Linked DNA regions of Sus scrofa. The protein of the gene in region 1 purifies or fractionates together with the protein of each later gene. This does not show direct contact. Links are inferred from orthologs where the notes say so. Each region holds a gene or a part of one and is shown in the gene's direction. Other genes may lie near its edges.

Region 1 (4,098 bases):
TGATGAAGGAAAATAGCTGTAACTAAGGACGACATGCTACCTCTGGACTCCTCAAAGGGCCCAGGTAGGGATGGGCAGCTATCCGTCTGTCCATAGCTCCAATCATTCCTCTAGCTGCTACTTCACACTGTGGAGCTTTTATTCCCTCCTTCTTTCATGCAAGCCTCCCAAGAGAAAGGCTCCAGGGTCGAAGAGGACTCAGACTCTCATAACTGATCTAGGCCAGACCATTCCCAGAAAGGGTATCCAGGCAGCCACCAGGGGAACAGAAGCTAGGGAAACAGGGAACTGGTCTCCTCTGGCTCTAATTCCCATGGGAGCAGGCTGCTCCCAGGTGTGGAAATGACCAGTCACTGTAGTTTCTTATTCTGGGCAGTCGTCTGGAGGAGCTGGACTCCAGTCTTTCAATTGCAGCACAAGCTATAGACCTCTCTCCTTCCATCTCCATGCTGACATTCCCTCTACACATCCTGTGCCCTCCCTTCGCATTTTATAGTTCCTGCAGCTTGAGAGATATTGGAGATGTGCTATGGCCATTAGTCCTCAGAGGAGGCCCTTTCTGCCCCCTCAGTGTGTCTGCTGACCTCTGGTGGTGATAGTTTGAACTGTACCCTCTTACTCTTTTTCTGGTTAGTTCTGGCAGGTATTGGTACACTTTTTTCTCAATCCTTATTCAAATATTCAAATACTGTGTAAAATGGGAATACTTTTTCTTGCCAAATTTTGAGTTTCTTTCAAGCATCATGGCATGCGGCAAAGAACAGGACCTGGGCTTTAGAGTCAGACTTACTAGGGTCAAATCCTAGCTGTGCTGCTTCCTAGCAGTGACCTTGGGCAAGTTACCTAAACTCAGCCTTCTTGCCTATGAAGTGAAGATGATAATAAATAGCTCAATGAGCGAATTCGATGAGATTATTGTAAAATTCATTTCCCTGTGGTGCCCTAGCACATAGGTGTTCAATAAAATTTTGTTACTGGAGTTCCCGTGTGGCTCAGTGGGTTAAGTACCTGACGTTGTCACTGCAGTAGCCTGGGTTGTTTCTGTGGCTTGGGTTTGGTCCTGGCTGGCCCAGGAACTTCTCCCTGCTGTGGATGTGGCTAAAACAAATTTTTTTTTTTTTTTTTTTTTTTTTTTTTGCCATTTCTTGGGCCGCTCCCGCGGCATATGGAGGTTCCCAGGCTAGGGGTTGAATCAGAGCTGTAGCCGCTGGCCTACGCCAGAGCCACAGCAACGCAGGATCCAAGCTGCGTCTGCAACCTACACCACAGCTCACGGCAACGCCGGATCGTTAACCCACTGAGCAAGGGCAGGGACCGAACCCGCAACCTCATGGTTCCTAGTCGGATTTGTTAACCACTGCACCACAACGGGAACTCCTAAAAAAATTGTTGTTACCTTCTCAATAATGGTGATTTGTTTAGTGTGTGACTCAATGTCAGTTTTGGAAATTTGGCAACATAAAATTCACCATCATACCTATTTTCAATGTGACTTTTTAAAAACTCTGAGTAATTTTATACAACTGCTTTTCTGACTCTTGAGTTTGGAAAATGAGGTCAACTCTAGTGTGGGCCATTCTGTGCCCAGGGAACGGCAGATCTGAGCCCCAAAAAAAGGGCTAGACAAGCTCTTGGGCACAGCTGAATGGTTCCGAGCCCTTGACCTCACTTTGGTTTCCAGCCTAGGAAGGGCTGACAGGATCCAGCACTCTTTCCCAGGGTCAGCAAAGGGCCCAGGTTTGAAGTTAGGCACCACTGGGTTCTCAGCAGGGCCTCCAAGGCCCCCTCCTCCTGCTTTGCAGAGAAAAGCGGAGGTGGCTGAAGAGAGGAGGATATGAGATTGGTTCTCTGCTCCTCCCTCTCTCTCCCTGCTTTTCCCCACACCCATCCTCTCCCCCACAGAGACTGGGAAGAGGGAGGGGGGCGGAGTTGGGGACTGAGGGCTCGGAAGCCCCACGGTGCCCTGTGTCTGGAGGAAGCCCTGGCCAGGGGCAGCTGTGCTGGCTCTGGCTCTGTGCCTCTCACTGCTTCAGCATGATGCTGGGGACTCTGGGACTTTGGGCACTGCTTCCAGCAACAGTGCAAGGTAAGTGTCTACAGGGAGAGCAGGGTCTTTCCATCTACCCGCTGAGGAAGGAGGCATTTGAAGCAGCAGCCACCCCTTTGGAAGAGTGGTGAGTAGGGTGGGTGAGTGACGGTGAAGGGTACAGCCACGTGTCCCTGTGTATGTAGGGTGGGGGGGTCAGGTTCCAGGCTTCTGCGGACCCTGGGTCCTCCTGTGGCTTTACCATGCTGGCCCTGGGATATAAAACATGTTTTGTCTCTCCTTTGGATGCAGTTTTGGCCCCCGCATTCACTCCCATCTTGAACCCTCCCCTCTCCTTACCCTGGGTCGCAGCACCCCCAAGCAGGCGGACCTGTGTGTTCTTTGAGGCCCCTGGAGTGCGGGGAAGCACAAAGACTCTGGGGAAGCTGCTAGATGCAGGACCAGGGCCCCCCAGGGGTATCCGCTGCCTCTACAGCCACTGCTGCTTTGGGATCTGGAACCTGACCCAAGACCGGGCACAGGTGGAGATGCAAGGTGAATAACACAGCATGTGGCAGGTGGGAGAGAGGCACATCCTGGGTGGGGGTGGCTGCTGAGGAGAGGAGAGGTGGACTGTGTGGAGGGAAAGAAAAGCCCAGGAGGTAGAAGGGACGCCTCTGATAGAGAAGGGACACCCTCTGGTTTCCCAGACCCCATGATACTCTCTTGTGCGTGCTCTCTCTCTCCCTCCCTTTCTCTCCTCTTCTCCCAATCCCACCGCACTAGGATGCCGAGACAGTGATGAGCCAGGCTGTGAGTCCCCCCACTGTGACCCGAGCCCCCGAGCCCATCCCAGCCCCGTCTCCACTCTCTTCACTTGCTCCTGTGGCACTGACTTCTGCAATGCCAATTACAGCCATCTGCCTCCTCCAGGGAGCCCTGGGACTCCGGCTTCCCAGGGTCCCCAGGCTGTCCCAGGTAGCTACCCAGGGTGCTGGAGCCAGGTTGGGACTGAGGCCCAGGTTAGGATGAGAGGTAGAACCAGGGCCAATTCTCACCCTAACCCCGGCTCAAGCTTTCTTCCTCCTGGCCTTGAGAAGTTGGTTGCCCTGGTGACTGGGAGATAAGGGGGCTTGTGACCAGGGTGGGGGTGGGTAGAGAAGCAAGATCTCTGACGAGAGGGAGAGGAGCAGAGAGCATAATTTGGGGCAGGGCTCATCCCGCCTGCATTCTTGCTTTAACAGGCGAGTCCATCTGGATGGCACAGGTGCTGCTGGGGCTGTTCCTCTTCCTCCTGCTGCTGCTGAGCAGCATCATCGTGGGTACTAATCTGCCCACCCCTCCCTTGTGACCCCAAGACGTTGCCCCAGAGCTCTGACCCCTGTCCAGGCTCCCCTGACCCCTATTACTTCCCACAAAGCCCCCTTTCCAGTCTCTATCCCCAAGTACCCTGACCCTAAGGCTCTTCTCTGCCCCAGCCCTGCTACAACGTAAGGCCTGCCGAGTGCAAGGTGGGCCAGAGCCAGAACCAGAGCCAGAGCCAGAGCCAGACTCAGGCAGGAACTGGAGTGCCGAGCTGCCCGAGCTGCCCGAGCTCTGCTTCTCCCAGGTGCCCAGGGAGGGAGGGATCCTCTAGGCACTCCCGGAGGGCATACTGGGGAGGAAGCCTGGCCCGGTACTAGCTGAAACCTGGCGCCAGCATCGTGCGTGTGTGTCCGCATCAGGTTATCCGGGAAGGAGATCACACAGTGGTGTGGGCTGGGCAGCTGCAAGGCAAGCTGGTAGCCATCAAGGCCTTCCCCCTGAAGGCTGTGGCCCAGTTCCAAGCTGAGAGAGCACTGTACGAGCTGCCTGGCCTACAGCATGACCACATTGTCCGTTTCATCACCGCCAGCAGGGGCGGCCCTGGCCCCCTGCCCTGTGGGCCCCTGCTGGTACTGGAACTGCACCCCAAGGTGAGAACTGAGGAATGTATCCGTGTGTGTGTGTGTGTGTGTGTGTGTGTGTGTGCTGGATGACAGCTAGGTCCTGTGCATGCTTATTCTTCTGCTTTAAATTTCTTCTTCTCTGGA
Region 2 (3,515 bases), on another chromosome or scaffold:
TGGAAAAGTATGAGAAACAGATCAAGCACTTTGGTGAGTTGGGCGCAAGGCCTCTCAGGGGGTTGGGGGAGGCCAGGTAGGTGGCGCCTGTGACAAGGGCTGGTCCTCTGCCTCCAGGGCCCTTCCAACACCTTGCCCATACCTTCTCACAGGCATGCTCCGCCGCTGGGACGACAGCCAGAAGTACTTGTCAGACAATGTCCACCTGGTGTGCGAGGAGACCGCCAACTACTTGGTCATCTGGTGCATTGACCTAGAGGTAGAGGAGGTGAGTGGAGCCCACCCCTCGGGCTGGGGGAAGGCTCTGCTCTCTGTCCGCTACTTGGTGACGTTGTGCCTGTTTTCTCCCTTGGCAGAAATGTGCACTCATGGAGCAGGTAGCCCACCAGACCATTGTCATGCAGTTCATCCTAGAGCTGGCCAAGAGCCTAAAGGTGGACCCCCGTGCCTGCTTCCGGCAGTTCTTCACGAAGATCAAGGTCAGGGCTTGAGTGATCAAGGCAAAGCAGGGGTGGTCCTTCTCAGGGAACCAGCCTGCAGTCACTTGGGGGAGGCAGACCTGGGTCCACTCAGACTCAAGCCCCTGTGATCAGAACCTCCTATATCAGAGTAGTTCCCGCTGTGGCTCAGCAGTTTGAGAACCAGATGCAGGGCAGTCTGACGGGGTGATCTAGAGCTCGGGGGTGGCTGTGTTGAATTTGAGATGCCTGCAAAACTCCCCACGGGAGGACACACAGGAGGTGGGTGTCATGAGTCTGCAGTTCAAGAGGCCATGCAAGTCTCCAGCATAGAGAAGTAAAGTGAGCTCAGAGAAGGTGGAGGAGGCCAGATGGAGCAGAGGAGAGGCCTGAGCCCCATGGTGCCCAACAGACATGGCGAGCCCCAGGGCATTTCTGAAGACCTGCAGGGGTCGTGGCGGGGGGGTGGATTCCAGGCTCCCCCAGTCCGGTCCCGTGAACACCCCTGCTCCCTGCTGCAGACAGCCGATCGGCAGTACATGGAGGGCTTCAACGACGAGCTGGAGGCCTTCAAAGACCGTGTGCGGGGCCGCGCCAAGCTGCGCATTGAGAAGGCCATGAAGGAGTATGAGGAGGAGGAACGCAAGAAGCGGCTCGGGCCTGGTGGCTTGGACCCTGTCGAGGTCTACGAGTCCCTCCCTGAGGTGCGGTCTCCCTGGCCCCTGGTGGTCGAGTGGGCGGCCAGTAGAATCCCCTGGGGTCCTGGGAACCCAGGCCATGACCCCATCCCCTGTACCCACAGGAACTCCAGAAATGCTTTGATGCGAAGGACGTTCAGATGCTCCAAGACGCCATCAGCAAGATGGACCCCACCGTGAGTAACTACAAGGGTGCTAGGCCCCGCCTGGGAAGCCGTGTCTCCCTGCCCCCCTCCAGCCCTGTCACCTCCTGGGCTTCTCAAAGAAATAATGGAAGTTTTTGTCCCTGTGAGGCCAGCACACGAGGTGGCCAGCACATGAGGCAGCCAACCTTAGTGCCACACACTCACATTTATTGAGCACCTGCTGTGTGCTCAGTGTCAAGATTGAGTGTCCCTGTCACCCTGGGATGTTTATGAACATACCCAACTGACCTCACCTTTACTCGCAACTCTAAGTGGCCCAGGGAGGAGGACTCCCCCCTCCCCCCGAGCCTCAGTTAAACCAGTTTCTCTCTCACAAAATCCCCAGGGGGCGCTGAGCCCCCAGCTGGTAAAGGTTGGCTCTTATCAGGAGCAGTAATAGCACTGGTTGCTCAAGTACTTGGAGTCTATTAGACCTCGGTTTGACCCCATTCCTGCTGCTTGGCTCATTGGTTGGCCACACTGGTTTGCTCATCTGTAAAATGGGTAAAAATCACAAGGCCTGGCCCAGGGTTTCTAGAAGTTTCTGTGGGAAAGAGCATCTAGATTAAAGGTCTTCAGACTATGGCTTGCAGGCCTGCTGCCCGTCTGTAAATAAAATTTTATTGGCATGCAGCAACCAAGCTCATTTCTTTTCATCTTCTCTCTGGCTGATTTTGTGCCGTTAACCATAAAGTTGAGGCGCTCTGGGTTGAGAGGTTTCAACAGAGACGACGTAGTTTGCAAGTTTACTGTCTGGCCCTCTGCCAAAAAAAAAGTTTGCTGACCTTTGTTCTAGACCTACACTGTTTAAATTTGAATTAAAATCGGAGTTGTGGCTCAGTGGGTTGAACCTGACTAGTATCCTTGAGGACACGGGTTCGATCCCTGGCCTCTATCAGTAGGTTCAGGATCCAGCATTGCTGCAAGCTGCAGCGTAGGCTGCATGTGTGGCTCTGATTCCATCCCTAGCCTGGGAACTTCCATATGCCGCGGGTACACATGGAGGACAAAAATGTAAAAAAAGACAATAAATAGGAGTTTCCATCATGGCTCAGCGGTTAACAAATCTGACTAGCATCCATGAGGACGCAGGATCAATCCCTGGCCTTGCTCAGTGGGTTAGGGATCCAGCGTTGCCGTGAGGTGTGGTGTAGGTCGCAGACATGGCTTGGATCCTGTGTTGCTGTGGCTGTGGTCTGGGCTGGCAGCTCCAGCTCCACTAGCCTGGAAACTTCCATATGCTGTGGTTGTGGCCCTAAAAAGCAAAAAAAAAAAAAAGACAATAAATAAATAAAATAAATGAACTTGAATTAAAGTTAAGTAAAATACAGGAGTTCCCAGTGTGGCTCAGTGGTTAACGAATCCGACTAGGAACCATGAGGTTGCGGGTTCAATCCCTGGCCTCGCTAAGTGGTTTAAGGATCTGGCGTTGCCTTGAACTGTGGTGTAGGTCACAGACGCAGCTCAGATCTGGCATTCCTGTGGCTGTGGTGTAGGCTGGCAGCTACAGCTCCAGTTAGACCCCTAGCCTGGGAACCTCCAAATGCCGCGGGTGCAGCCCTCCAAAGACTAAAAGACAAAAAAAAAAGTTAGGTAAAATACAAAGTTCTGTCCTCCCCTTGCATCAGCCACATTTGAAGTACTCGGTAGCCACGTGTGGCAGGAGGCTACGCTGTTGCAGGGCGCAACTCACAGACCAATTCCACGCCTGAGGACAGCTCTGATCTAGAATAAGCAGGAAGCAGGCTTGAGGATGTGCAGGGGACAGAGAGGCCACCAGTAGGTGGCAGCCCAGCCTCACCTACCCACCCTTCTCCCCACAGGACGCGAAGTACCACATGCAGCGCTGCATCGACTCCGGCCTCTGGGTCCCCAACTCCAAGTCTAGCGAGGCCAAGGAGGGGGAAGAGGCGGGTCCTGGGGACCCTTTGCTGGAAGCTGCCTCCAAGTCGGGTGACGAGAAAGATGTCAGCGCGTGACCTGCCCCAGGCACCGCCTGCCTGCCTGCAGGCCCCTGTGCAACCCTTTTCAGAAAACAAATAGATGCCATCTTCCCAGCTCCTGGCTTCCTCCACTTTTGCTGCTCCTTGACCTAGCCTGGAGGGACCTGCTCACCCCCTCCACTGCCCCCGCCCCCCAGCGCTCATCCAAGTCTCTGCTTTGAGTCAAGGGGC

Evidence for each region. Proteins that work in one complex are often made in the same cells at the same time.
Region 2: the proteins of AMHR2 (region 1) and CDC37 purify together in Homo sapiens (co-immunoprecipitation; 3 studies listed by BioGRID and IntAct, with this or other methods). This does not show direct contact. The link is inferred for Sus scrofa from reciprocal best matches to the Homo sapiens genes AMHR2 and CDC37.

The regions. Positions count from the first base shown.
Region 1 is NC_010447.5:18,640,923-18,645,020, forward strand, and holds the start of AMHR2 (anti-Muellerian hormone type-2 receptor), read left to right. Parts: upstream 1-1,290; 5' UTR 1,291-2,034; coding exon 2,035-2,086; exon of another isoform or gene 2,087-2,289; coding exon of another isoform or gene 2,290-2,338; coding exon 2,339-2,581; intron 2,582-2,812; coding exon 2,813-3,004; intron 3,005-3,270; coding exon 3,271-3,348; intron 3,349-3,504; coding exon 3,505-3,635; intron 3,636-3,750; coding exon 3,751-3,981; intron 3,982-4,098. UniProt on the Homo sapiens protein: On ligand binding, forms a receptor complex consisting of two type II and two type I transmembrane serine/threonine kinases.
Region 2 is NC_010444.4:69,202,910-69,206,424, reverse strand, and holds part of CDC37 (hsp90 co-chaperone Cdc37), read left to right. Parts: coding exon 1-33; intron 34-152; coding exon 153-268; intron 269-356; coding exon 357-479; intron 480-979; coding exon 980-1,162; intron 1,163-1,260; coding exon 1,261-1,332; intron 1,333-3,164; coding exon 3,165-3,320; 3' UTR 3,321-3,515. UniProt on the Homo sapiens protein: Co-chaperone that binds to numerous kinases and promotes their interaction with the Hsp90 complex, resulting in stabilization and promotion of their activity. Inhibits HSP90AA1 ATPase activity.